6 linked regions of the Canis lupus familiaris genome follow. The protein of the gene in region 5 interacts with the protein of the main gene of each other region in a pairwise test. Links are inferred from orthologs where the notes say so. Each region holds a gene or a part of one and is shown on either strand. Other genes may lie near its edges.

Region 1 (4,097 bases), on a different chromosome or scaffold from region 5:
GATCCTGGAGTCCCGGGATTGAGTCCCACGTTGGGCTCCCTGCATGGAGCCTGATTCTCCCTCTGCCTATGTCTCTGCCTTTTCTCTCTCTCTGTGTCTCTCATGAATAAATAAATTAAAAAAAAAATAAAGATTTCCAGTTTCCCAGAAGTCACCTCAAGAGATTCTGATTTGGGAGATCTGGGGGTAGTTACCAACAATCTGCATTTTAATAAGAACTCTAGGTAATTCTGATGATGGTGGTCAGAGACCATATAAATACTATAAATACTATAGTCAGTGGTAGCTGAGGAATAAAATTTAACTCTTCTGTTGAAAACAACTTCCTTAACTCTGAACTCAGTTCTCCTCTTGTTCTATCTTGCACCTAACCCCTGGTTTACTGTTTGTATCCCACTTGCACCTCTAAACTGAACAAGCAAATAAATAAAATCTTTAAAAAAGGGGGGGGGGGTGGGCAGCCCGGGTGGCTCAGCGGTTTAGCGCTGCCTTCAGCCCAGGGTGTGATCCTGGAGACCTGGGATCGAGTCCCACTTCGGGCTCCCTGCATGGAGCTTGCTTCTCCCTCTGCCTGTGTCTCTGCCTCTCTGTCTCTCTGCCTCTCTCTCTCTCTCTCTCTCTCTCTGTGTGTCTCTCATGAATAAATATAAAATCTTAAAAAAAAAAATAAACTGAATAAGCACATCTGGTTCATGAAGGTTTGACTTCTGGTACCCACTAAGTACTTAAAACACAACCCACAATCACCTCCCTTGACTCCTTCAGTCTCCTGGATGGCTGGAGCATCAAAATTAAACCTGAACCAAAGAGAGTCCCATCTGGCCAACTAGAATGAGGGAAGTTGATGAATGAGGAAGTTTAGATAGTGGAATCCTAATAATAATAAAATATGACTGGAGAAATGTGACAAAGAACCTGACAACATCAGTTAATTTTAGGCAAAAATTGCTTCCCTATTGTTCCTTACTTTTGCTCCACAGCCAACACTTCAAGTGACTTTATGCCAAGGAGGCACATCTTTTGGAGAGGTGCTGGGTTAGATATAGGTCTTCAATCTTTTTCATTTCACTTGCATTTTTAGCTAATTCTAGATTACTTAAAAACCAGTATAGAAGACCTACCCACCATGTCTTTGAGATGATTTTAACATCTTGTCAACTAGTGCCAAGTTTTATCTTCTCAGAGCTCATGTCTGCATAGCTTCCTTACCATCAATGCTTTTAAAGTCCAAAAGATAGCTTCTATTGTCAACCAGGTAAAGTTGTAAACTCATTTTCACATAATTGCCAGTCACTGGATTTTTTCTTCTTACACGAAGATGATATGCATTCACTACCTAAAATGGGAAATTTTTTTTAAGGAAAGTTGTTAAAAATAACGAACTACAAAATATCTCCCTTATTCTTATTGCAAAGAATATCAAAAGAAACAACTGACAGAGGTAGGGTAGAAAAGGAATTCCTGTATGATCTTTTTATATTACATGACAGTTTAGTATTTATATTTAATCTCCACTAATCAGACTGTGCAAAGCAACTGAAATTTAAAGGGCACTCGGAGATTATATGGAGTCTAGGCCTTCATTCTAGATATGCCTCTGTTCTAAAATGTCAACAATTCTGATCATCTTGAATAACTTTACCTATTAATATGGAGTAGAAGGAATAAAAAAGAACACATTAATAGTTTGCATTAGGCAATATAAACAGGTACTGTCACAAAATTTAAGTATTCAAATAATCCTGTGAAGAAGTATTATTTGCCTTTTTTTTTTTTTTTTTTTTTTTTTTTTTTATTATTTGCCTTTTAAAGAGATAAGAACTACAGCTCAGATAAAGATAATTCTGGATTTTTAAAACATCTATTAAATAAGTTCCAAATTTTTTTCAGTATTGGATTTTAATGACATTAATGTCTCTTAACTAAATCACTTAAGAAAAGGGGGATCTGTTTTTTAAGTGATTTTAAGAGACTATTATTTTGCTTATTCATGTACAAATAAAATGAAAATGATGGATTTTTCAAATATGTCAAATGAATATATACATTGTATATGTGAATGTTTTTCTTCCTTTAAAAATACATTTACAGTCCTCAAGAAAGGAACCAGAGTAGAAAGGATATCTGAAATGAAAAAAATGCTTTTCCTCCCACATATACTCAAATAGAATTGCAATGAATTTGAACACTAATTTAAAAAAAAGAAAATTGGATGCTAAGAGTAAGAAAAATATACCACTATTTTGGGACTAGCCAAATAAAAGAGATTTTCTCAACCTAGAGAAAAGTATTTATTGACTGAAAAAATATGTCCTGATGGCATATCATCTGTATTGCTACAGCTAGGGGGGAAAAGGGAGAAAAGTAAAAACATAACATCTTTGAAGACACATGACTTTTTATTGTTATGATGCAGACAGAAATAGGTGGACTATTTTCTCAGGTGATTGATTTCAGGTTATTTTCTGTTTCTTGACTAAGAATGCTAGTCTCCAATTCAAAAATATTGTAGGTCCCCAACATCAACGATTCTTCATGCTTATAGAACTTTGTTTAGTTTTGAATGAACTTGGTATATTAATGGAAAAAATGGGAGTTTTTATCATCTAGAAGCATCAAGACCAATTTATATCTAAATCAAAACAACTTTTTTATTGACATAAGTACTCGACTCGATAGATCAGTGCAGCTTACTATACAAAAAAACAAACCTTTACAAATGATCTTAATATTCTACAATTTCATACCTTCCATTCAAAATCCAGCTGCTTCATAGCTCGGTAGACTTCAGCCATAATGTCATAAGGTTTGCTTTGACTTCTGATTCCAAGATGCCACTTGGCTTTTTTCACAGCTAAAGATTTGGGCTTAGTTGTATTCAGTGCATCCAATGGACATCTCGCTTTAGGGCTGTCTGCTATAAGAGGTGGCATCCTTTCTGGATGAGGTTTCAGGCCTGGGGGAATATGCATGGTACTATCATCCATAAAAGAACCAGTTGGGGGACTAGAGGCGAGGTAGAACTCACTGGCTTGGTTCATTATTCTCCGATTGTCAATGATAAGATGATAAGCCACTGCAAGCTGGTCTTGAGGGTCACCACTATATAAACTGTTCATTACTTCTGATTCTGTACACTCAAATTTTTCACACACTTCTTTCACAGCCTCATCATCAATGACGTTAGCATCATAGGAGGGGTCTTCAGGAAATAAGTAACTGGGCAAATCTTGTTTAAACCATTCATGCTCTCTAGGAAAAATACCACAATACACTATTGTAAGAACATGCTTTGGCAAGTCCCAGATAATTTAGACATGGGGCAATAAAATATAACAGAATCAGAAAAAACTATTCTCTGTGTGACCCTGGGTAAGTTAATTAACCTCCACCCTTGAATAACTATGATTATTCAGACTTGGATATTTGGCTCACATTTTCTCAAAAATAAGTAAAATGAGCCTGTCACTTCAAAGGAAACAACCGACAGTATTTGTTGCCAACAATAAAGTTTAAGCTTTCAAGCAAAATTTAGAATTTTATATAATTTGTATCTGCCTCCATGAGTTTGGCAGCTTCCTACTATGTAAAGACTTTTCTGATAACTTTATAATGATAGCAATGAACAGGATTTCTAATACTGTATAATGAACTTGTCACCATTCGGAAAATCTTTTTTAACTCAATAACCTGGCATCTCAATAACTTCAAATGACCAATGCATGATGTTACAAAATCATACACAGGTAAAATATCCACAAAACATAAAATAGACCAGTGGATTTTAATGCAATAAAGTACAAAAGTATGCCAATATGTTTTCTCATTTGATACTATAACGAGTTAAGCTTTGGCTTAATATCAAAGCAGAATATCCACAATTATCTGAAAGACTATTCAAATGCTTCTCCTTTTTCAACCACTTATTTGAGTGATATCAGATTTTCTTCATAGACTGCAACTAATATAACATATTGCAACAGACTGAATGAAGAAGTAGGCCTAAGAATCTAGCTGAGGTTTATGAGTAAGCCCAACACTTAAGGGAATCTGAAAATGAAAAAACAAAAAACAAAAAACAAAAAAACACCATTCTT
Region 2 (4,097 bases), on a different chromosome or scaffold from region 5:
GCTGCCTAGGAAAGGGCCCAGATGTTAGACTTAGCAGACAAAGCCTTTGAAGCAGCCACTATAAATGTCCAAAAAACGAAAGGAAACTGCTTAAAGAAGTCAAGGAAGGTATGATGACAATATCTCATCAAATACAGGATATCCACAAAGAGTTAGAAATTATAAAAAAAAAAAAAAAGAAAAAAGAAAAAGGTTGGAAATCCTGGAGTTGAAAAGCACAATAACAACAACAAAAAAAGGTACAATAACTAAAATTACAAACTCACTAGAGGGGCCCAAGAACAGATTTGAGCTGCCCAAAGAAAGAATCAGCAAATTGAAGACAAATTGATGAGACTGAAGGGAAAAAAAAATGCAGGAAAGTGAATTGAAGAGACCTCTTGGACACCATCAGGCATACCTAAACATTTTTTGGTAAAGAGAATAAATACCAAAAGGAGTACAGAGAAGTAGAAAAGATATTCAAAGAAATAATAGTAGAAAAAACCCCAAATTTGATGAAAAACCTGAATTTACATATCCAAAACCTCAATAAGTCCACAAAGGACTTATAGGATAAACACAGAAGAGATAATACCCCAATACATCATAGTAAAAATGAGGAGAGTAAACAATCTTGAAGGCAACAGAGAAATGATTCACCACATCCAATGGTACTGCAATTAGACTGGGAGGCTCTAGGGATGCCAGGGTGGCTCAGCAGTTGAGCGTCTGCCTTTGGTTCAGGGTGTGGTCCCGGGGTCCCAGTATCGAGTTCCACATTGGGCTCCCTGCTTGGAGCTGGCTTCTCCCTCTGACTGTCTCTGCCTCTCTCTCTCTGTCTGTGTCTCTGATGAATAAATAAATAAAATCTTAAAAAGGGGGGGGAGGGGAGGCTCTAGAGTTACTTTTTTAATTTAAGCAGCATTTTTTTTTTTAAGATTTTATTTATTTATTCATGAGAGACAGAGAGGCAGAGACTTAGGCAGAGAGAGATGCAGGCTCAATGCTGGGAGCCTGGTGTGGGACTCAATCCCAGAACTCGAGGATCATGCCCTGAACCAAAGGCAGAAGCTCAACTGCTGAGCCACTCAGGCGTCCCTAAGCAGCATTTCCTAATGAATATGGATTATTCTTGTGTCTTAAATGATAATATAAAGCAGATTTTATGAATGGTGCAAATTATGTTCAAATTATGGTTTATTGTTGATGGTGTTGTTAACCTGTCTTCAACAGAAGGTTGTTTTTATTTATTTATTTATTTATTTATTTATTTATTTATTTATTTATTTATTTATGATAGTCACAGAGAGAGAAAGAGAGAGGCAGAGACACAGGCAGAGGGAGAAGCAGGCTTCATGCACCGGGAGCCTGATGTGGGATTCGATCCCGGGTCTCCAGGATCGCGCCCTGGGCCAAAGGCAGGCGCCAAACCGCTGCTCCACCCAGGGATCCCCAACAGAAGGTTGTTATCCATAATTCTGTATTCCATGATAACTTTATTTACTAAGCTGAATAATACCATTAAGTTTGGTTCCTGATATAGCTATTCTTAGGTGAAAGAACTTGTCAAAAATAACCTAATTACCACAAACACAAGTTCCTAACCCAACAACCAGGGCTACTTTTGAAGACAGGCATTTGTTACTGTGAACAAAGAAAAAAAAAAGTTAGATTCTTGCCCCTAGAAAAGGAGAGGAAGAGTAGTTGAGGTTCTTCTCCACAAGCTTTCTTACCCCACCTTCTTCTTGTCTTCCTTCCTTCCCAATATTTGGCACTTAAACCTGGCGATAAGGGGTAGGAAGGAGGGAGGAGGAGAAGCAGTGATGCTCAGCAGTGGCTGGTCTTTTTTCACATGAAACTTTGTATCTGAGGATCTTACTGGGCACTTGAGGTTTGTTGCATAAAGTTCTTTCAGAAATAGGGCAGTCCTGGTGGCTTAGCGGTTTAGTGCCCCCTTCAGCCCAGGCGTGATCCTGGAGACCAGGGATTGAGTCCCAGGTCGGGCTCCCTGCATGGAGCCTGCTTCTCCCTCTGCCTGTGTTTCTGCCTCTCTCTCTCTCTCTCTAATAAATAAATAAAATCTAAAAAAGAAAGAAAGAAATAGGACAAGCATATTTATGTAATGTGTTGAGACATTACCAGCTATCAACCACTGGTTTAAATTTGAAGTGGCTTCTAAAATCATCAAAATAAGTATTAAGCTCAAGATGCCCTGATACCGATTTATTTTTCTTCCCAGCTCAAAGAGAAGATAATGTTAACACATACTCGTTTATATTCACTGATGAAGATTCTGAAGGAAAGAACTCCTGACCAGCCCAAGCCAGAAAACTGATCCAGGATTAAAGCTTAACTAGGGGGATCCCTGGTTGGTGCAGTGGTTTGGCACCTGCCTTTGGCCCAGGGCGCGATCCTGGAGACCCGGGATCGAATCCCACATCGGGCTCCCAGTGCATGGAGCCTGCTTCTCCCTCTGCCTGTGTCTCTGCCTCTCTCTCTCTCTCTCTCTTTCTCTCTCTCTCTCTCTCTGTGTATGTGTGTGTGTGTGTGTGTGACTGTCATAAATAAATAAATTTTAAAAAAATAAAGCTTAACTAGGTTCAGGTCTTATTGCTGTCTTCATCAACAGGAGTTCTCAAGGAAGAAAGATTGGCTAAGAAGAGATGTGAACTCTATTCTCACCTTGAGGCTGATTTTCCAAATGATTTGTGAAGCTTTGTCTAGAAAATGAGAAACAAAGGAAACCCCTACCCAGGTTTCATAGCTATTTGCCTTAAGAACTTATTTTAGGGTGGCGCAGTGGTTTAGCGCCTGCCTTTGGCCCTGGGCGCGATCCTGGAGACCCGGGATCGAATCCCACGTCGGGCTCCCGGTGCATGGAGCCTGCTTCTCCCTCTGCCTATGTCTCTGCCTCTCTCTCTCTCTGTGTGACTATCATAAATAAAAGAACTTATTTTAGCTTATCAATTTCATAAATGTTTGTTTCTGAATACATATTTTACTGCAAATGTAGGTTAAGAGGCAGTGTCCTGCAAATGGTCTGACATAAAGATATACGGCTGTTATGAAAACAGAGTTGTATTTCATGTTGACTACTTTATTCCTACATGGAGCAGTTGTGATGATGAAGATAGAAAACATTTTTTTTCTTACATGCAATATACGTACAAACATACTCTGTAGGTAATATTCAGTAAGTTAACTGGAAAATATACAATTTATCTTTCTCTTTTCATTTCTAAACTGAGCCTACCCAGGTAATAATGAGAGAAATGATAAAACATTCACCAAAATGCTGTTTTTCATATTTTGCTTTATATACCACTTACACTCAGTACCTTGTCATATTATTCATTTAATAAAAGTCTACTAACTTTGGGGATAAAAGGTAAGCAAAAAGAGCCACTCTCTACCTGCACAGAGCTTTTAATCTCATTAGAGGTGGACGTTCAAACAACCACATGAATACATGTGAAATTATTACTATAGTAAAGGTTTTGAAGAAAAGAGACCTAGAGCTACCAGCACATGAAGCAGCTACCGGACCCCTGGGGTTGGAAAGGCTGCTCTGAGGAAGTGGGATTTCAGCAGTGGTCTGAAAGACTAGGAGTTAATTAGGGAATGGAGGGGGACCTGTGGAGAGGCCCTTAAAAGAAGGCCTGCAGGAGGTGAACTAGTGGCCAGAAACCAGAGGGTACAAGGACTTATTGGATGATGTTGTTGTTTAAGATTTTATTGATTTATTCATGAGAGACACAGAGACAGGCAGAGGGAGAAGCAGGCTCCCTATGTGGAGCTGGATGCAGGACTCCATCTGGGACCCCCCAGATCACACCCTGAGCTGAAGGCAGATGCTCCTCTGCTGAGCCATTCAGATGCCCCCTGGATGTTTGTTTTTATCCCAAGAACAATGGAAGCCTTGGTTTCACTTTTGTAGAACCTTGCTATGGTTGTCTTGTGGAGAAGGGGTTTATAGGGGCAGAAAAGCAAGCAGACTACTGAGGGGCTGGCAAGAGCCCAATCCAGATAAGAAACAGCCAAGTGGTGGTGTCTAGAAAAGTTGACTTGGTTCAGATGTAGCTGGCAGCCATTTTTAAAGTTCTTTCCATTCTTTC
Region 3 (4,670 bases), on a different chromosome or scaffold from region 5:
ACGATCACGACCGGATGGCGGCGGCCTTGCGTTCTTACTCGGCAGGTCGGCAACACAGCCTAAGAGATCCGGATGAGGGGGGCATTCGCAGCGTTTTTGTGTGTCCACACGGAGGGCAAGGAGGCCTTCGCCAGCCTCACTGGGCACCTGAGGCTGGGACCTGGGCTGAGGTCATGCCAGGCTCCGTGGAGCCTGACTATGCGGGGAACTCCGCCTGGAAGCTTCCTCCGCTTTCCCAGGCCTGCCTGCGGGTCCCAGCCCTGGCTTTAACCGCGGTAGGGGAGCCCCGCTAGGGCAAAAACTGGTTGCTTGTTTGCCAGTAGCTTCTCCCAGGTTCAGACTCTGTTAGAAATGGCATCCTTGGTGCGGAATGGGTGCTGGAGAAAGGGACCCTTCCAGCTCCAGTCGGCTTCAAATAATAGGGGAAAGGTGTCCTAAATGCTACAACCATTGGATTACAAACTTGAGTCCTTGTTCCAAGTTGTAGTCCACAGTTGGAAGGCAGTCGAACCATTCTTGGTCTGGAACAGAAAATAACTTTCATCCCTGCCTGCTCCCCAAATGCACACTCGTGGGGCCTTGAGACTCATGCCCACTGAGCTGTGTGTGCTTCCCTTCCCAGCTCTGGCTGCCGGCCCTGGAACTGTTTCCATTGCTCTGCCTGCGGTTCTCTTATCTGAAAGGCCAGCACACCGCTTTCCCCTCAACTCCTCTGTGCCATTTTCCGGACCAGAGTATTGGATTTGTTTAGAGGCCAAGGTTTTAGAACTCTCAGGCGAAAAGAGGCGGTTTGTAATTACATCCATTTATTATTTTTTTATATACACACTCAGTCCCTTGCATTTCCAAAATAAAAGCTGACTCCAAAGCCTGAATATTTTCTCCCCAAGTCTCTGGACTGACGAAGAGGTAATATTAGTTTTTGTGTGTGTGTGTGTGTGAGATTTCTTCCCTTTTAGGCACCAGTAAGGACTGCTTAACACTCAGCGCCTGCTAATTACTTGGTAACTGTCCTATTCTGGGGACTAAGGCTCTTTAAATAGCCTTTCTATATATTTAAAAAAAATACTACTAATAATTCGAGTCTTCTCTGGGCACAAAAAGTCAAAAAGCAATGAGGGGAATCCAGCCTGCTTGCAGACAATTGCAATTAGGAGCGAGGTTTCCTCCAGGGTTAATGTTCCTTAATGAAAATCTCAGAGGCACCCGCGAACTGCCCAATATTTGGGATACTCCGGGATGCGGTGGGGGTGGGGATCAGGCGGAGGAATTTACAGGGAAAGGAAAATATTAGGGGGGAGGAGGCTGAGGCGACCAGGACCAGCCACGTCGGAGTTCACTGTGTCGGCCACTTCCCTCTTCCGGCGAGAGCGGATAAAGGGGCACCCGGTTGGTCTCCGCCAGGCTTCGCAGCCTCGGTCTGGGGGAGAGCCTGGCGTTCGAGGGTCCCTGTCCCGGGTAGGGATGTATCAGGCTTTGGGGGAGGATTACTGGAACTGCTGGGGAGCATGAAGGCAGAAAAGGAGATGGAAGCGCCCTCGCCGCCCGCCCTCGCCGCTAGGGAAGTGGGCTAATGAGAAACACACTCTTGCAGGCACAGTGTTCACACGTGAATTTAATTACCCCGTTTTTTGGAGTCGAGGCTTTCCGTTCGGATTTGGGGTGGGTTTTTTTTTCTTCCAACTACCAGAGGCCTTTTAATTTAACCCTGCAAGACTCTGAGGGGTGAGAAATGCCCTCCTCAATGTGGCCAAGCTAAGGAATGGGATTAAAGTCAATGCCCCGTGCCCCTCCCCGCTTTAATATCTAGCCCTGGACTTGAGCTGCGGTCGCCCAGCTTCGGGCTGTCCGGCCTGGTGAAAACCGAGGCGGGGCCCGGGGCAGTGGCCAGAAAGGAAGGAAGGAGGGAGCCCTGAAGAACCCATCCTGGGCGGCGAGGCCGACCGCTCCCGTGCGGGCCTCGCAGTTCCCGGAGCCCCGCGGTCTGTGCGGCGGGGCTGCCTTCTCGCAAGCCGATCTCGCCCTCCACGGAGGCTGCCTCGTGGGTTTTTTTTTTTTCCCTGCAGGCTCGGGTTGGGGGAACGCGACAAACTTGCCGAGCTCAGCGTGAGGGCCTTTGGGGTCGAGGCACAGTTTTGGGTCTCCCGCTGCGTTCGCCTGGGTCTCCTCCTGATTCCCCGCAGAGGACTCGTCGGGCGCGGGGGCGCGCGGGGGCGCGGGGCCGGGACCGAACCCGCGGCACAACCAGGCCCTCCAACCCTTGGCTGCTGGGACGGCTGGCCGCTCCTCGGTGGAGCGCTCGCTGGAGGCGCAGCGGGCGAAGCTAGGAGCTAGCTGCCCGGGTGTCCTGGGATCCCATGGGGGCAGATTTCAGGGCCCCACAATAGGCAGTGCCCTCTCCAGGGCCTGTCGCTGCCCAGCGCACTCGGGCAGGGGCGGTGGTGACTCAGTTTGGGACGGATACTGCGTTGAATTTGACTTTTCGCGGCCCGTCCGGGGTAAACTCGCATCTCCCGGGACTGCAGGGATTATTTACAGGGAGCTCGCCGACCAAACACAACACTCTAATTTAACCTTTCCAAGTCCTCGTAAATTTTTACAGCTGGGAGCCACGGCGAAGCAAACGAATCTGTGGGTCGTTCCCAACTTTTCCACCGGCCTGTGTGGCTTCTGAAACAATAACTCCTTATGAAATATCATAAATATAGATTTAAATACAGTAGAGCGAGAATGCGATTTGGCTGCTTTTTTATGGCTTCAATTATTGTCTAATTTTATGTGAGGGGCTCCACTGGCCGCACTCGCACGCGGGACCCGCGCCTTGCTGATGGCGTGATTAATTGTGATATAAAATAGTCCGCTTAAGAAGTGTGTGTCTGGTGGTGGCGGTGGGAGGGGAGGGAGTACAGAGGCAAGGCCAGATTTGATCTTTTAATCTTCGTTGGCCACAATTAAAACAAACCCGATCGTGGAGCGCCGCGATCCCTTTGCATAAAAACATATGGCTTTTGCTATAAAAATTATGACTGCAAAACACCAGGCCATTAATAGCGTGCGGAGTGATTTACGCGTTATTGTTCTGCCGGGCGGGCACGTGACGCGCGCGGCCAATGGGGGCGCGGGCGCCGGCAACTTATTAGGTGACTGTACTTCCCCCCCCCCTGGTGCCACCAAGTTGTTACATGAAATCTGCAGTTTCATAATTTCCGCGGGTCGGGCCGACCGGCCAGGCGCGGGGCACAGCGATGGCCACCACCGGGGCCCTGGGCAACTACTACGTGGACTCGTTCCTGCTGGGCGCCGACGCTGCGGACGAGCTGGGCGCGGGCCGCTACGCGCCGGGGGCCCTGGGTCAGCCTCCCCGGCAGGCCACCGCGCTGGCGGAACACCCCGACTTCAGCCCGTGCAGCTTCCAGTCCAAGGCGGCGGTGTTCGGCGCCTCGTGGAACCCGGTGCACGCGGCGGGCGCCAACGCGGTGCCCGCTGCCGTGTACCACCACCATCACCACCACCCCTACGTGCACCCCCAGGCGCCCGTGGCGGCGGCGGCGCCGGACGGCAGGTACATGCGCTCCTGGCTGGAGCCCACGCCCGGCGCGCTCTCCTTCGCGGGCTTGCCCTCCAGCCGGCCTTACGGCATTAAACCTGAACCACTGTCCGCCAGAAGGGGTGACTGTCCCACGCTTGACACTCACACTTTGTCCCTGACTGACTATGCTTGTGGTTCTCCTCCAGTTGATAGAGAAAAACAGCCCAGCGAAGGCGCCTTCTCCGAAAACAATGCTGAGAATGAGAGCGGCGGAGACAAGCCCCCCATCGATCCCAGTAAGTGTCTCCTCCCTTCAGACCGGCCGCCGCCTCCACGCCGGCCACCAGGATCTGCCAGCCCTTCGGCTTTCTCTTGAGCCTGCCTTCGCCTGCGCCGCCGGGAGCCTCTTGAGCAGGGGCCGGGAACCAGAAGTTGCTGTTTAGGATGCCTCGGATGGGGCCCCAATTCCAGAGAGCAGTGACAAGCCGGCTACCGGGTTGAGGGGGGAGGGGAGGCGGCTGCTGCGGGATGAGAGAGAGAGAGAGAGAGAGAGAGAGAGAGAGGGCGGGGCGGGCGCTGCCGGCCAAGCCAAGACCAGCCGCCCCTCTCCCTGGCTGCCCGGTACCGAGACAGCAATACTTTGGGCCGTTCTTCGAAAGCAGCTCGGCAGAGAATCTTTTGTGCGGCTAGATTGTCCTGGAGCGGCGGCAGCAACTGCAGCCTAGACCCTGGAGAAGACGGCCGATTCCCTCCACTTCTTGCCTTCAGCCAGTGGCGGCGTAAATCCTGCCCAGGATGAGGCTGTAGGCGACCGGGCCACGGTGGTCCCCTTGCCAGATTATTCAAATACACTGGAGAAGTGATCCGCGCCCTTGGGGCGCGCGGTGAGGGCTGCCGGAGGCTCCCACAGCCTTTCGGGGAGGTCAAAGAAGGATTGGGGAGAGAAGGAAAGGAGGGGAAGGGAGGCTACACACAGAGACAGTGTGTATGCGTGTGTGTGAGATAGTGAGAGGGAGAAGAGAATATGAGTGTTACAGGAACACAGGGCAGCGTGCTGTCCCTGTGCCTGGCCAGAAGAGGATCTATTTCCAAATTTCACTCCTTGCACAGTGTGCAGAGGGTGGAAAGAAGGAGAGGAAAC
Region 4 (4,754 bases), on a different chromosome or scaffold from region 5:
CACACTTAGATCCAGATGCAGAGGTCCCGTGAGATGTTCAGTGTGATTCCACGGAGACCTTCCAATAATCTAGGAAATCTTTCTGGGACAGAGGAAATCAGATTTGAGGTTTGAGAGTTGAGGCCTGGGAAGTGAGGCATGGAGGCAGTCCCCAAAGTGTGTTCTGCGTCTTTGCCAGAATTAGCTGGAAGCCTTTGGGATAACCACGTTGCCTCTCTAGGTCTGTTTACTTACCTACAACCTCAGGGAGAGCTAAGGGAGATGGTCCAGTTGATCTCCGCAAAGCCTCTCAACACAGCATTTTCCAATTTTGTGAATCAATGAAAACAAGCCATTTCTCACATGTGGGGGTGGGTGGGGTGGGGAGGAGAAGGGGGAGGGGCGTGGTGTCTTTGTGGTGTGTACCCACTCCCCCACCCATGCCTAAGGATCAAAGCATCACTAGAGGCTGGCGAACGGGACCTGGCCAAGCTTGGCCCAGGCAGGGGCAGGGGCAGCGGCAGGGGCAGCGGCTGCCCCCCCCCCCACCCATCACATGCCGAATCTCAGAGCAAGAGTGTCACTCCTCTGAGATCACAGCCTAACACCTTCGAAGGACAGTCTGGGCCGCAAGGGGACCTCAGAGAACGGTGCGAGGCACGGGATATTTGCCGCATCCGGAGCCCGTGGGGTCTCCCTTTGCTGGCTGGCTGGGGGTTGCTTCGGAGGTTCAAGACGCCGTAACTCCCTTAGTCACCGGTTTCAAAGTAGATGATTCAGGCTCCGTGCGGTGATGGGGAACCAGGCGAGGAGCTGTGGGACCACCGCCACCTCCCCCACCGCCCCACGCGCCTTAAAAAAAAAAAAAATTTTTTTTTAACCCTTTCTCCCACCCCGATTTCTAGTTCCCTTGTGCACTTAGGGCCCGATAGGATGGATCCTGCCTTCCGGGTGCAGTTTAAATATATTTGCATAATTTTGCACGACTATTGCGTCATCGTCGAAGTGGTCGTGGTACCCCGAGAGGCCTCCTCGGCTTCTTCCAAGCACCGGGGCCTCTGGACGCTTCCGGGCGCTGCGGGCACTTGCGCGACGAGCCCTGGGCTCCTCCCGGGCTCCGGGCCCCGCCCCCGCCCCTCCCCCGCCCGCGGCTCCGCCCCCCGCCCCCGCCCCCGCCCCGCGCGGGGAGTCAAGCTAGGGTGAGCGGCCAGGCCGGGCGGCGGCGGCGGCGGCGGCGGCGGCGGCGGCGGGCGGGGCGCGGGGCGCGGGGGCCGGGCGGGGCGCGGGGGCCGGGCGGGCGGCGCTCGGGGAGGCGCTCGGGGAGGCGCTCGGGGAGGCGCCGGGGCCCGCCCTCCTCCGGGGCGCAGCCGGGAGGGGCCCGGGCGCGCGCGGGGCGGGGAGAGCCGCCTGGCCCCTCCCCTCCGCCGCCCTCCCCAAAGTTGCCGTCTCCCCCGGGGCCGGCCGGTCTTATGATCCAGCGGATCCTCCGGGGGAGGCCGGGCCGGGGAGCGCGCGGGCGGCGGGCGGCGGGCGGCGGGGGCGGCGGGGGCGGCGGGGGCAGCGGGCGGGCGCGGCGAGCGGGGCCCGGGCGGGGATCCGGGCAGCGGCCGAGGCGGCGGCAGCGCCCCGGGCCCGCCGCCCCCTCCGCTCGGCGGGGGCCGCCGCTGCATGGGGCCGGGGGGGCGGCCGTGCTGCGCGGAGCGGCGGCGGCGGCGGCGGCGGACCCCCCAGGCGGGCTGGGGCTGAGCCCGGGGCCGGGGCGGGGGCTCCGGGGGGACCATGCCCGGAGGCCGGCCGGCCGCAGCATGGCTCACGGGCCCGGCGCGCTGATGCTCAAGTGCGTGGTGGTCGGCGACGGGGCGGTGGGCAAGACGTGCCTACTCATGAGCTATGCCAACGACGCCTTCCCGGAGGAGTACGTGCCCACCGTCTTCGACCACTACGCAGGTAAGGCTGAACTGCTGACTAAGGGGCCGCTCCCCGGCCGGGAACTTTGGAGCAACTTTGGCGGAGCCCCCTCGCCGCCTCCCCCGGGCGCGCTCCCCCCGCCCGGCCCCGCGCCGCCTCCCGGCCCCACCCCCGGGCCTCGGGGCGCCCGCTCCCGGCCCCCCGCGCCTCCCGAGCGCCGGGCGCCCTGGGACGACCTCCTTGACCTTCCCACGGCCTCCTCCCGACGGCCCACGCCCCCTGGGGGGACGCTCGGGGCACCGGCGAGCCGTGGCCACGGGTGGGCAGCTGGGGCCACAGCACAGCCCGGCCCCCCGCCACTCGGCAGGGAGCCCGACGCTGGGGAGGAGGGGTGACACCTCCCGGGAGCGCCGCACGCCTCCGGAAGGACCGACAGAGCCGTCCTGATGGGGAGCCGGAGGGCCCCAGACCCTAGATAATCCGAGCTTCTCTCCCCGCCCCCGCTTCTGTCCTTGCAGTCAGCGTCACCGTAGGGGGCAAGCAGTACCTCCTGGGACTCTATGACACGGCCGGACAGGTGAGTGTCTTGGCCCCTGGCCCACACCCCCTTGCCTCTCCTCAATTCAGGCTGGCGGCAAATGCACCCTGAGGTGTCTCGGAGGGAGGGTGTGTCTTCGAGGGGCCCCTCTGGATCAAGTCTTTATTTCTTTTCTCAAGTCAGCAAATTAGGAAAAGGAAAACACACACACACACACACACACACACACACACACAAGCCGACAACAAACCCAGCCCAGCCCACCCCATGTGAACCCCTGGGCTGTGAAAGTTTTTGCCTGTGTGTGCTTTCTGTGTGGTGCCTGGTGTGTGGGTCCCAACTCCTGTTGCAAAGTGGCAGCGGCCAATCATGAAGCGCCCTTATTTTTAGTTGCAGATGACCAGGTCTCCCCCTCACAGCCTCTGTCTGGTCCCTCATTGGTGAGTGGTCTGCCTGCCTGAGGAGCCTGATTGGTGCAAAATGGCATCATCTAATATGATGGGAAGGCATTTGGTCCTGGTTATGTTTATTACAACATCATTGCACTCTGGGACTCGAGTCCCTGCAAACGTAATTTGTGGTGTTACCAGAGGACCACAGGGGAAAAAAAAAAAAAAAAGAAAAGAAAAGAAAAGAAACAACAACCATCCAGCCACTCCCTGGGGTAGGGAGGAGGAGGAAGGGTTAGGAGTATGAATCTTGGAGGAAGAGCCCCCTCCCCCCCCCCCCCGCCCCCACCCTTCTCTGGGAAGGCCAGGTGACTTTGTCTGGGTTTTCTTTGAGAGAGATTATTGTGCAGAAAGAAAACGGCACAGTCCTCCTGGCAGCCTCTGACCATTAGCAAATCGGAGGTTGGTTCTAAAGGATTAAAGTCTCCTTCCTCTCTGTCTCTCTTCCCAGGCTCACTTTTGCTGTGGGGCTGGGATGATTACGTATAATGAAGTTTTGCAGAATCCAGCCCTGTGATTAGACGTGAAACCTTGGGCAGAAGTTTTTCACGTGTCATGCAGACTTGAGTCCTTGAGGACGTGTGAACAGCTGAGGGCTTTAGAGAGTGCCTTGGGGGATCTCCAGGAGTACAGTTTCCTTATCTATAAAATGGGCTTCAGAAAGTTCTCTGTTCACATATTATATGCCAGACGCTTAGCACTGAATCTGGCGCACCCAGGGAGATGCTCAATAGAAGGGAACTATTCTTTGCAGCTTTTCTAGATTTGGAGTTCAGAGTTGTGGTACCAGGTTGAATTGAAGAATGTCTTACAGACGGTGTCTGGATGTGGCTTCTGGCTTCTAAACTGTTAAGTTAGAGGAGCATCTGAGGATAGAGAAACTGTTGGCAGGGCCAGGTGGCAGGGGCTGTCCCCTTTCTCCAAACCAACCCAAGTCAGTACAAGTTCTTAGCTTGCCAGGGCCCCTTTTGGGTGCCTGCCCTGTAGCTGTTACTTTATTCTATCAGAACGTGTGGAGGGCAAAAGGCAGAACCCAGTCAATTAAATAAGACCCGACTTTTGAACAGTACACTTGATAAATGACAGGTTGAAGTTTGGGATTGAAAAGGAGAGAAGTTTTTAAACACCGCCTCTAATTTTAACGTCTCTCACTACCGCCTCTTCCCCTTTCTCCTTTAACTTGTTACCATGACCATTCATTTGACCACGAGCCTATTCAACAGGATGTGTATATGTCAGACCTATTCTGTGCGCATTCAAATCCAACTAATACTTACCAAGTTCCTTCTGCATGTCAGGCATGGGGCAGCCACATGCAAATACTATTTTCTCCAAGAAGCAACCCCATGAGCAAAGTGATACTGTCTTTGCAGATGGGGAAACTGGGGCTCAGAGAGGCTAGGTAGCTGACCTCAGGTCACATAGCCAAGGACAGGTGTTGCTGGGACATGGACATGGGTCTGAATTTGCTCTGGTTTGAGGTGATTATACACACAGGAAGCCACTGGAAAGGCTGAGATGCCACTTGGGTTGATTAATCCAGAACCCTGTGGGTCTGTAGACCTGGGTACCTGGAATCTGGACAGCCATTCTCTGAGTGACAGTCATGCACTACCACTACAGTGGAAAGAACCCAGATCCAAATCATCACCCGAAGCTGGACCCACGCACAAAACCAGGGCTTCCCATAAGTTATTGTGATTGCTGTGTCCAGTGGAGATGGGAAGACACATACCAAACGGTATCAAACTATTAGTAAGGTTCAGTTACCCAATGATGTGACACCTACTCTATTGGCCAAGATGTGTTTTAGGGCCCCTTGGTGTTTGTCCTAGGATCTGGAACTTTTCCTTTTAGATCAGTTAGTGATAATTCATCTT
Region 5 (4,668 bases):
CAAACTTTGCGTTACGTTTAAGTGGGGGAACATTAGTCATGCAGTTACAACAAATAAAAGTATACAAAAGCATTAAGGAAAACTAAAAGTCATTATGCAAACGTGCAGCCTGGAGAGCCCAAGCACTGTACAAATGCCATACCTGATGGCTGACGTGTGTCGCTGTCAGCGTGTGCAAGTGGGTGCGTATTCGCGTGGTGTAAACTCAGCCTGTGAGTCTGATTCCTGTCTCTTCCCACCTCCCCCTCTCTGCTCCCAGGTGGCATGAAGCCCAACACTTTGGTCCTAGGTTTCTATGATGATGCTGCACCCCAGGACCACTTCCTGACAGACCCGGCTTTCTCCGAGGCTACTGATGGCACCCAGGAGGGTGGGTCCCCAGCCCTGAGCACTCTGTTTCCTCCACCCCGGGCTCCTGGGAGCCCCCGGGCTCTCAGCCCCCAGGACTATGTGGCCACAGTGGCAGACGCCCTCAAGATGAACAAGAATGTGGTTCTGGCCCGGGCCTGTGGGGCCCTGCCCCCGGAGCGGCTGAGCCGGGGTTCAGGGGGTACCTCTCAGCCACATCACGTGGATGTGTGGCCTCTCAACCTGCTGCGGCCCCGGGGTGGGCCTGGCTACGTGGATGTGTGTGGCCTTTTCCTGCTGCAGATGGCAACCATCTTGGGCATGGTGCCTGCTTGGCATAGCGCCCGGCTCCGGATCTTCTTGTGCCTGGGGCCTCGAGAGGCCCCCGGGGCGGCTGAGGGGCGGCTCCGGGCACTGCTGAGCCAGCTGAGGATCAGAGCCGAAGTACAGGAGGTGGTGTGGGGTGAGGGGGCTGGGGCTGGGGAGCCGGAGGAGGAGGAGGAGGAAGGAGACTTTGTGAATGGCAGGCGGGGAGATGCTGAGGCAGAGGCCCTGGCATGCAGTGCTAACGCCCTGGTTCGGGCCCAGCAGGGGCGCGGCAGAGGAGGCGGGCCCGGTGGGCCTGAGGGTGCGGATGGCGAAGGTGGGCCTGCCACAGCCCTCACTTTCCTATACCTGCCTCGGCCGCCCGCCGATCCTGCCTGCTACACTCGCTACCTGGCGCTCCTGGAGACTCTGACCCATGATCTGGGCCCCACGCTACTCATTCACGGAGTCACCCCAGTCACTTGCACTGATCTCTGATGCCCGGGGCCTGGAGCAGAGGGTGCCCAGGTCCGGTGACCTGCTTTGATCAGTGGATGCAGAAGGGAAGGGCAGCCTCCCGCCTGCTCCACGTGTGGGGTGTGGAGCCCTGTGGAAGTACTAGGGGATCCTGGGCTGGGGCACCCCTCTGTCCCTGTGAGAGGGGCTTTAGTGCACTAATGCAGGGCAGCTGTGTCCCCACCACGCTGGGGGAGAAAGGCAGCAGCCCTCCCCACTGGCCTCCCTTCCTTCACTGGTGCCTTGATGGAGGCTGGGTCTCTGCTTTGACTCTCGGCTACCTCAGTCTCCCCTTGCCCAACAGACTCGCAGACCCCTGAGGTTGTGATGTTTTTGTTCTGTTTTATTTTTCTAACCGCTGAACGTGAATAAAAGACCAAAACACTATGGGCTGGCCTGGCTGAGCACTGCTAGGGGCGGTAGGTGGGGCGGGAAGAGAGAGATCTGGTTGGGGGAGTGTGGGAAAGAGCCGCGCTGGAGCGCGTCCCAGCGGCGAGGTGGCCACGTGCGGGACTTGGGGCGCCAGTCTGGGGGAACGAGTGAAACGGAGGCAGCCTTGGAAAGCTCTCCCTGCTCGGCGGGAGGGGGCCGACTGGGGGAGGGACGGCAGTTTAGGGCCTAGGGGGCCACGTGACCCTCCCCCAGGAATGTGGTGACGTCACCGGGGGCGTGGCTGTCCCCAAAATTGGGGAGGAAGGGGAAAAAAAAGGCCAGAAAAAGTTTCTTTCCTGGAGTTCCAAACGAGGTGTGGGACAGAAGAAGGGGCCAAGACCAGAGTCTTGGGGCTACGTGGGGCCTGACCGCTGTCTAGAGTCTCCTGATCCCGGCCATGTCGGGGCCCACCTGGCTCCCCCCAAGGCAGCTGGAGCCTGCAAGAGCCCCTCAGGGGAGAGCACTCCCCCGAGGTGCCCCGGGGCCGCCGCCAGCCCATGGAGCAGGTAAGGCAGCCCCAGTGCCGCCAAGGAGGCCACTGGCCATTCTGAGCTCACCTTCGCCTTCTGGTTCCTGCCTCCTGCCCCTGGCTTGTCCCTGCCACCCCTTCCCTGAAGCCCTTCCGGCTTCCTGCTCCTGCTCTGTTCTGGGACTCCAAGTGTGGGGGGGGAGGGGAGAAGAGTGACCCATGAGGGCGGCCTCCATAAGTGTCACCCTCCCCTCCTTCCCCATCCCCACCTTGGCTCTCTTTTCCCTCACCCTAGCACATCAGCCCCACCCCAGGGTCAATTTTTGCCCCCTCCCATCTGAGCAGTGTTACCAGGCCCCCGGGGGACCAGATGATCGGGGGTTCCCCTGGGTGGGGTGCCATGGAGCACCCCAGCGCTCACAGGTGAGAATTGGAATTGGGAGTGGGTGGGAGGTGGGGGCACCCGGGGCAAGTGACTTGAATTCTCCCTGCTTTTTCTTCATCTCCAGGGGCTCCCCCCAGACAGGGGGGCCTTGCGTCCAGGAAGTCTGGATGCCGAGATAGATTCGCTGACCAGCATGCTGGCTGAGTTGGATGGAGGTCGTGGTCATGCCCCACGGCGGTCAGACCGGCAGGTGACTTCCCTGTCCCACCCCTGTTCCTTGTCTCCTGCCCTCTTCCACACTCCCCATCCTGGTCCTTTCCCTAGATTCTCAACCTGGTACCCTTCACCCTTGCCCCCATGTGTGATACATGCAGGAGTATCACATCTTACTAGATTGTCAGCCTCTTGAGTGCTTGTCAAAGACCAGCACTACCTTGGGGACACACACACACACACACACACACACACACACGTGGGAGGGCCCACAAGTGTGTGTCCTGGAATGGGCCTTCTCACTCCTGGTCTGTTTCTCCCCAGGCTTATGAGCCCCCTCAGCCCCATGCCTACCGCACAGGCTCAGGCTCCCTGAAGCCGAATGGAGGGGGTGTTCCTATTCCTCCCCAACAGCTCTCAGCGTCTCCCTATGGGGGCCCCACTCCAGCCTCCTATGCTACAGCCAGCACCCCCGCTGGCCCTGCCTTCCCTGTGCAAGTGAAGGTGGCACAACCAGTGAGAGGCTGTGGCCCTCCCAGGCGGGGGGCCTCTCAGGCCTCCGGGGCCCTCCCGGGCCCTCACTTTCCTCTCCCAGGCCAAGGTGAAGTCTGGGGGGCTGGCTATAGGAGCCACCATGAGCCAGGGCCAGGGGTTAAAGAGGAGGCTGCAGGAGGAGGAAGAGGAGGCGCGTATGGGCCCCAGGTAAGCCCTAAGTATTGGGATGTGGGGTCCTCATGGACAACTGGACACTGATTGGGTGGGGTGGGGAGTCCTGGGGTGTTGGAGTTCTGGGTCCCAGGGATGTGGCGCTGGTCAGGAAATAGAAGAGGGAGGTGCTGGAGCTGTACACTGGCTCCTGGAGGTGCACCCCTGGGCCCCGGGCTGAGACCTCGTCAGATGAGCTTTCTGCTTGGAACTGCCTGGTCCCCTTCAGGAAAGTCTGACAGCATAGGGAGCTGGAGGTAGGGCTGAACCCCTGACTCCCCCCTTTCAGGTCCCCCTGAACCAGCCTCCTGAGGAAGAGCTTGAGAGGCTGACGAAGAAACTGGTGCATGACATGAACCATCCTCCCACCGGGGAGTACTTTGGTGAGCTGACCTGAGGTGGGAAGGGGGGCAGGGGACTGGGGAGTCAAGGGGACAGCGAATCCACCTTCCATTCTGCATGCTTATTGACCCTGTCCCTCCCTGTCCCCAGGGCGGTGCGGCGGCTGTGGGGAAGATGTGGTTGGGGATGGGGCTGGCGTTGTGGCCCTGGACCGGGTCTTTCACGTTGGCTGCTTCGTGTGCTCTACATGCCGGGCCCAGCTTCGGGGCCAACATTTCTATGCTGTGGAGAGGAGGGCGTACTGTGAGAGCTGCTATGTGGTGAGTGGGTGTGCTGGGGGTGGCCTGGGTGCTGGAGTCTGTAGCAGGAGGCAGGAGGCTTCCATCTAAGGTAGCAGGAGGCAGGAGGCTTCCATCTAAGGTGGAAACTAGATGTCTAAGCACATGAGAGGGACAGAATTCAAAGGTGGGGGATGCCTGGGTGGCCCAGTGGTTGAGCATCTGCTTTCGGCTCAGGTGGTGATCCTGGAGCCCTGGATTGAGTCCCGTATTGGGTTCCCCCCAGGGAGCCTGCTTCTCCCTCTGCCTATGTCTCTACTTCTCTCTCCGTGTCTCTCATGAATAAATAAATAAAGTCTTAAAGGAAAAAAGAACTCCAAGCTGGGGGACTAAACTGATGTGTAAGAAGGAAGGAATTGGGAAAGTAGTGAAATTACTGGCTGCTGGAGGGAAAGGACAATAGTTCCTTACAAATGTGAGAGGAGGAGGAAGAAGAGGAGGAGACCAGACTTATCTTGAGTTAAGGGAATATGTTAAATTTCCACACTGCTGCCCCTGTGAAGCAGCTGATACTACTGTAGGAAACGGAAGTTGAGACTGGATCACTTCTGTAGGAAGCTACAGTGCTGGGACTTAGATCTGTTCAGGGCCACTTTTCACTGAATCCCTTGCAG
Region 6 (4,677 bases), on a different chromosome or scaffold from region 5:
AAGAGGAAGGTGAGTATGTTGGGGGGTAGCCCAGGAATCAGAGGGGTGTCCTTGCCTGGGATAGCTTGGCTGAGGTTTGACCCCCAGGTTATATCCAGAGGACTCAGGGATGCTCATCATTGACCATCCCAACCCACAGTGTCCAGCCAAGGTCCAGAGGACTCACTCCTGGGGACTCAATCCCGTGGCCACTTCAGCCGCCAGCCAGTGAAATATCCCCGGGGTGGAGCACGGCCTATCACCCACCAGCTGTCCAGCTTTGCCTTGGTAGCTTCCAAATTGTGTGAGGAGACCCCTATCACATCAGTGACGCGAGGGAGTTTGCGGAGGCGAGGACCTGGCCCTGTCACCTCCTCGCCTGAGGGCAGCCCTCTGCGCCGCACCCCGCTGCCCAAGCATTTTGAGATCACCCAGGAGACAGCCCGGCTTCTCTCCAAGCTACCCAGCGAAGCTATGCCCAAGGCCACCTGCTGCCCAGATCCCCAACCTGAGGAAGCTGAGGACCATCTTTGACCATCCCAGCCTTCTGACCAAGGGGGAAAGGACTGAGAGGTGTTCAGTGTTGGGGGAACTGGAGAGTTCCTGCAAGGAAAGACTACATGGCCTTGGAGACTAAAACCCCTTTTGAAGCAATATACCAGTATTCCCCCACTAGACATAGGTCACTGCCAAGCATCAGGGCCACTCAGGTTCAGAGGTTAGTCAGGGTCAACACTCAGGGTCATTACAAGTCATGGGATCCTTGGCATCCACTCTAGTCTCTAACCCCTGGGACAGGGGTACCTTTTGCTACTTTGGTTGTAGCCACTCCCCCACCTCTGCCTGCCTCCTTAGCTGCCTCAGGTGAGCAGCTCTTGGAGGGAGTGGGCAGCCCAGACTCTGTGGCACCTGGGGCCTGACGCCTGGGAATAAACTGTGTCCTTTATACCCTTGAGTGTCTTTTTTTTTTTTTTTGCCAGGCAAGGGTGATGGGAGAGAGAGAGGGGAGGGCAGCATCCTTTGGCCCCACTTTACCCACTGGAGGAACTAAGGCCCCCTTTCATCCCCAAACATCCTTGAGCACCTACAAGAAGTACGGGCTGGGCCCGGGCACCCGGCTGAGTCACAACGGCCCGTCCCTCCCGGAGCTCCACGTCCCCGATCCGGTCCTGCATAATCAAACAAATATAACAAAGTGCAGATAACCGGGACAATGGGGCTGTGTGCTCTGGGCCGTGGGAGCCTAGGGCCGCCATCAGCCGGGCCGGGCAGGGGGCAGCGCGGCCGCGGGCGCAGGGCGTGGGGGTGGGATTTCCAGAAACTTGAGCGCGGCCCGAGGGTCAGCTGGGGCCGGAGAGGTCCGTGGGGCCCCGGGGGCCGCGCGCGCGGTATCTCGGGGCCGGGGAAGCGGAGGCGGGGCGGGGGTCCCGGCGGTGGGAGCCCGGTCGGATCAGGGCGTGGCTTGGAGCTCGGCGACGGATTGGACGGCGGGGAGCGGGTGGGGTGGGGCCGGGCGGGGGCGCGGACCCTGAGACCACCCGGAGCTGCGCCCAGGCGGCGCGAGGTCACGGCGGGGACTTGGCGCGGTGAGTGGCTCGGCCCCCGGGGGCTCGAAACTGCGCGTGGGGCGGGCGAGGGCGGGGGCGGGGGCGGGGGCGGGGGTCCCGCGCCGGAAGTGCAGGGGCGACCGCGAGGCCGGGAGGAAACGGTGGGGGGCTGCGGTTCCGGGAGACCCCGTCCCGACCGCGCCGGCGGAGGCGGGATCCCCCAGGTGGCGGGGGCGGGGCGGGGCTCCCAGGTGGCGGGGGCGGGGCGCCGCGCCCAGGCAGGGGCGGGACCCCGCCCTCCGGCTCTCGGCTCTCGGCGCCCGCGCCCAGCGCACCCGGACGCTCGTCGGCTCCCGCGGTGGCCCCCAGGCTATGGGTCTGGGGCCTACCCCGTCCCCCCGGGAGGCCGCCCGTCTGCGACGTGACGGGCCGCCCAGACGAGGCCGGTACTGACGGTGGCGGGCGGGCGCGGGTCCCCGGGAGGGCGCGGCACGTGCCTGCGGGGCCCGGGCACCGCCCCCTCCTCCCCTTAGCCCCGGCTCCTCCTCCAGCCTGGGGGCGCCTGGGGGCGCCTGGAGGCCCCGCGGCCGCCGCCTCCCTGGCCGCCCCCTTTGTCTGGGAGACCGCCGGGGTCCTCCGTCCCACCCGTCACTGCCCGATACCCCGCCCGCCTCGGGAACGCTCGCGCCCAGCACCCGCCGCCCAACTTCTGGGGCCGCGTCGCTGCCGGCTCTGGTGGACCCGGTCACTTCCACGCTCAAGCACGGACTGCCCTGCAGGGTCCCAGCAGCGACTCCACCCTGCTCACACACGCCCCTTGGGCTCTACTTTGTGCACTGATCCCAGCAGCGAGCGTACCGTCCCTCACCCACTTGCACAGCTCCTGGCGCTTTGTCCCTCCTTCCCCGCCACTCACCCCCCCAGTACAGATTGGGCGCGCTTGGGTAGTAGATGATTTTTTTGTTGTTTTCGTTTGTTTGATTTTGCTTAAGTTAAAACAAACAGCCAGTCATTTGATTTGGGGGGATAATCTTTGTAAGGGTCTTATTAGTAAATGAGCAACAGCTGCCCATCCCCCACACTCCCACCAGGGAGCTTGCTTTCCCGGTTACCCTGGGCTCCACCACTGCCACTTTACCGAGTCTGAGACCCTTGCCCTTCCTGTCCTGACCCCCGCCCTCACTGGCTGCTGCTCATTCTTGTGTCCTTCGAACAAATGCCACCTATACTGACCTCTCCCTCTGTGCCCCCAGATGGTCACCATGGGCCAGTGCTACTACAACGAGACCATCGGCTTCTTCTACAACAACAGTGGCAAGGAACTCAGCTCCCACTGGCGGCCCAAAGATGTGGTTGTGGTGGCCCTGGGGCTGACAGTCAGCGTGCTGGTGCTGCTGACCAACTTGCTGGTCATCGCAGCCATTGCTTCCAACCGACGCTTCCACCAGCCCATTTACTACCTGCTTGGCAACCTGGCCGCGGCTGACCTCTTTGCTGGTGTGGCCTACCTCTTCCTTATGTTCCACACTGGCCCTCGCACGGCCCGGCTCTCGCTGGAGGGCTGGTTCGTGCGGCAGGGCCTGCTGGACACCAGCCTGACGGCATCAGTGGCCACACTGCTAGCCATCGCCGTGGAGCGGCACCGCAGCGTGATGGCTGTGCAGCTGCACAGCCGCCTGCCCAGAGGCCGAGTCGTCATGCTCATCGTGGGGGTGTGGGTGGCTGCACTGGGCCTGGGGCTGCTGCCGGCCCACTCCTGGCACTGCCTCTGTGCCCTGGACCGCTGCTCACGCATGGCCCCCCTGCTCAGCCGCTCCTATCTGGCTGTCTGGGCCCTGTCCAGCCTGCTTGTCTTCCTGCTCATGGTGGCTGTCTACACCCGCATTTTCTTCTATGTGAGGCGGAGGGTGCAGCGCATGGCAGAGCACGTCAGCTGCCACCCGCGATACCGAGAGACCACACTCAGCCTGGTCAAGACCGTTGTCATTATCCTGGGTGAGTGAGTGTCCTCAGCTGGCCCAGGGTTGCGGGAACCCTGCTTCCCCCCAACTCCCACAAGGCATGGGAGGGCATGATTTGGGTGGGGAATGTTCTCCAAGGAGGTGACATCTGAGCAGAGACCTGAATGCTGGGAAGGGAAGACTTCCAGGCAGAGGGAACAGAAGGTGAGAGTCCCGCAGGACTGGGCTGTGCCTCCAAAGAGGAGAGGAGGCCCGTGTGGCTGGAGAGAAGCAGGAGAAAAGGTCAGCACCGCCTCGAAGGGCACAGGCAAGAGTCAGATTTTGTTCTGAGTTCTGTGGGAAGCCCTCAAGAGTTCTTAGTAGGGAGTAATGAGGTCAGTCTGGCTGTAGAGTGGTCTGAGTGGGGGAGGTAGCCAGGTTATCCTGCAAGGATACACTCCCCTACCCCTAAGAACAAGGAGTGACTCTTCCCTATGACCCCCTTTCCCCCCACCAAGTAACACCTCTCCCACATGACCTCCTTCCCCTCATAGAACAAATTTTCATGTAGAAATGTCCAGCACCCTGTCTACCGTGTACCAGGTTAGGAAAGGCATCCCTTCTGGCAGATAAATCAGAGAAAGGTGTCAGGCGGCTCTTGCCCTGCAAACTACACGGCTGTTGTCTGAGCTCTGGAGCTCCTTCCAGGCCTGAGCTCTGACCTGTGGGTTTTGGGCCCCAATAGCTAGCCCTGCTCACCTCAGGCTCCATCCTATAGGGGCGTTCGTGGTCTGCTGGACTCCAGGCCAGGTGGTGCTGCTCCTGGATGGTCTGGGCTGCAAGTCCTGCAACGTCCTGGCGGTGGAGAAGTATTTCCTACTCCTGGCCGAGGCCAACTCACTGGTCAACGCCGTGGTGTACTCGTGCCGAGATGCTGAGATGCGCCGCACCTTCCGCCGCCTCCTCTGCTGTCTGTGCCTACGCCGGTCCACCCACGAGTCTGCCCGCTATGCACCCTCCGCCCGAACAGGTGCCAGCACTCGCATCATGCTTCCTGAGAATGGCCACTCCTTGATGGACTCCACCCTTTAGCCGACCTGGGACTTCAGTGGGGTGCTGCAAATGCCAGATTATGGCCTCCGACCACTGGTGAATGCACCTGGCTCTACCTAAGCTGCAGGACAGACCTTCAGTCTGCTATGGCACAACTC

Evidence for each region.
Region 1: the proteins of TRIP6 (region 5) and PRKAA2 interact in binary tests that used the Homo sapiens proteins (3 or more experiments, as listed by UniProt). The link is inferred for Canis lupus familiaris from reciprocal best matches to the Homo sapiens genes TRIP6 and PRKAA2.
Region 2: the proteins of TRIP6 (region 5) and OIP5 interact in binary tests that used the Homo sapiens proteins (3 or more experiments, as listed by UniProt). The two-hybrid records come from large-scale screens. The link is inferred for Canis lupus familiaris from reciprocal best matches to the Homo sapiens genes TRIP6 and OIP5.
Region 3: the proteins of TRIP6 (region 5) and HOXA9 interact in binary tests that used the Homo sapiens proteins (3 or more experiments, as listed by UniProt). The two-hybrid records come from large-scale screens. The link is inferred for Canis lupus familiaris from reciprocal best matches to the Homo sapiens genes TRIP6 and HOXA9.
Region 4: the proteins of TRIP6 (region 5) and RHOQ interact in a two-hybrid assay, tested with the Homo sapiens proteins (2 studies listed by BioGRID and IntAct). The two-hybrid records come from large-scale screens. The link is inferred for Canis lupus familiaris from reciprocal best matches to the Homo sapiens genes TRIP6 and RHOQ.
Region 6: the proteins of TRIP6 (region 5) and LPAR2 interact in a two-hybrid assay, tested with the Homo sapiens proteins (2 studies listed by BioGRID). The link is inferred for Canis lupus familiaris from reciprocal best matches to the Homo sapiens genes TRIP6 and LPAR2.

What each region holds. Positions count from the first base shown.
Region 1 is NC_049226.1:53,180,192-53,184,288, forward strand, and holds part of PRKAA2 (5'-AMP-activated protein kinase catalytic subunit alpha-2), read right to left. Parts: intron 3,253-4,097; coding exon 2,748-3,252; intron 1,337-2,747; coding exon 1,210-1,336; exon of another isoform or gene 1,122-1,209; intron 1-1,121. UniProt on the Homo sapiens protein: Catalytic subunit of AMP-activated protein kinase (AMPK), an energy sensor protein kinase that plays a key role in regulating cellular energy metabolism.
Region 2 is NC_049251.1:8,673,611-8,677,707, reverse strand, and holds part of OIP5 (protein Mis18-beta), read left to right. Parts: intron 1-2,221; coding exon of another isoform or gene 2,222-2,317; exon of another isoform or gene 2,318-2,605; intron 2,606-2,611; coding exon 2,612-2,713; 3' UTR 2,714-4,097. UniProt on the Homo sapiens protein: Required for recruitment of CENPA to centromeres and normal chromosome segregation during mitosis.
Region 3 is NC_049235.1:40,434,830-40,439,499, reverse strand, and holds the start of HOXA9 (homeobox protein Hox-A9), read left to right. Parts: upstream 1-1,469; 5' UTR 1,470-3,245; coding exon 3,246-3,825; intron 3,826-4,670. UniProt on the Homo sapiens protein: Sequence-specific transcription factor which is part of a developmental regulatory system that provides cells with specific positional identities on the anterior-posterior axis.
Region 4 is NC_049231.1:49,818,154-49,822,907, forward strand, and holds the start of RHOQ (rho-related GTP-binding protein RhoQ), read left to right. Parts: upstream 1-1,714; 5' UTR 1,715-1,784; coding exon 1,785-1,926; intron 1,927-2,405; coding exon 2,406-2,464; intron 2,465-4,754. UniProt on the Homo sapiens protein: Plasma membrane-associated small GTPase which cycles between an active GTP-bound and an inactive GDP-bound state. In active state binds to a variety of effector proteins to regulate cellular responses. Involved in epithelial cell polarization processes.
Region 5 is NC_049227.1:8,843,628-8,848,295, reverse strand, and holds the start of TRIP6 (thyroid receptor-interacting protein 6), read left to right. Parts: upstream 1-1,695; 5' UTR 1,696-1,999; coding exon 2,000-2,108; intron 2,109-2,366; coding exon 2,367-2,494; intron 2,495-2,580; coding exon 2,581-2,706; intron 2,707-2,993; coding exon 2,994-3,371; intron 3,372-3,663; coding exon 3,664-3,757; intron 3,758-3,866; coding exon 3,867-4,036; intron 4,037-4,668. Other genes in the region: SLC12A9 (solute carrier family 12 member 9), read left to right, coding at 260-1,152. UniProt on the Homo sapiens protein: Relays signals from the cell surface to the nucleus to weaken adherens junction and promote actin cytoskeleton reorganization and cell invasiveness. Involved in lysophosphatidic acid-induced cell adhesion and migration.
Region 6 is NC_049241.1:44,053,731-44,058,407, forward strand, and holds the start of LPAR2 (lysophosphatidic acid receptor 2), read left to right. Parts: upstream 1-1,491; 5' UTR 1,492-1,565; intron 1,566-1,815; exon of another isoform or gene 1,816-1,972; intron 1,973-2,779; coding exon 2,780-3,521; intron 3,522-3,667; coding exon 3,668-3,769; coding exon of another isoform or gene 3,770-3,794; intron 3,795-4,244; coding exon 4,245-4,558; 3' UTR 4,559-4,677. Other genes in the region: GMIP (GEM-interacting protein), read left to right, coding at 1-9, 140-513. UniProt on the Homo sapiens protein: Receptor for lysophosphatidic acid (LPA), a mediator of diverse cellular activities. Seems to be coupled to the G(i)/G(o), G(12)/G(13), and G(q) families of heteromeric G proteins. Plays a key role in phospholipase C-beta (PLC-beta) signaling pathway.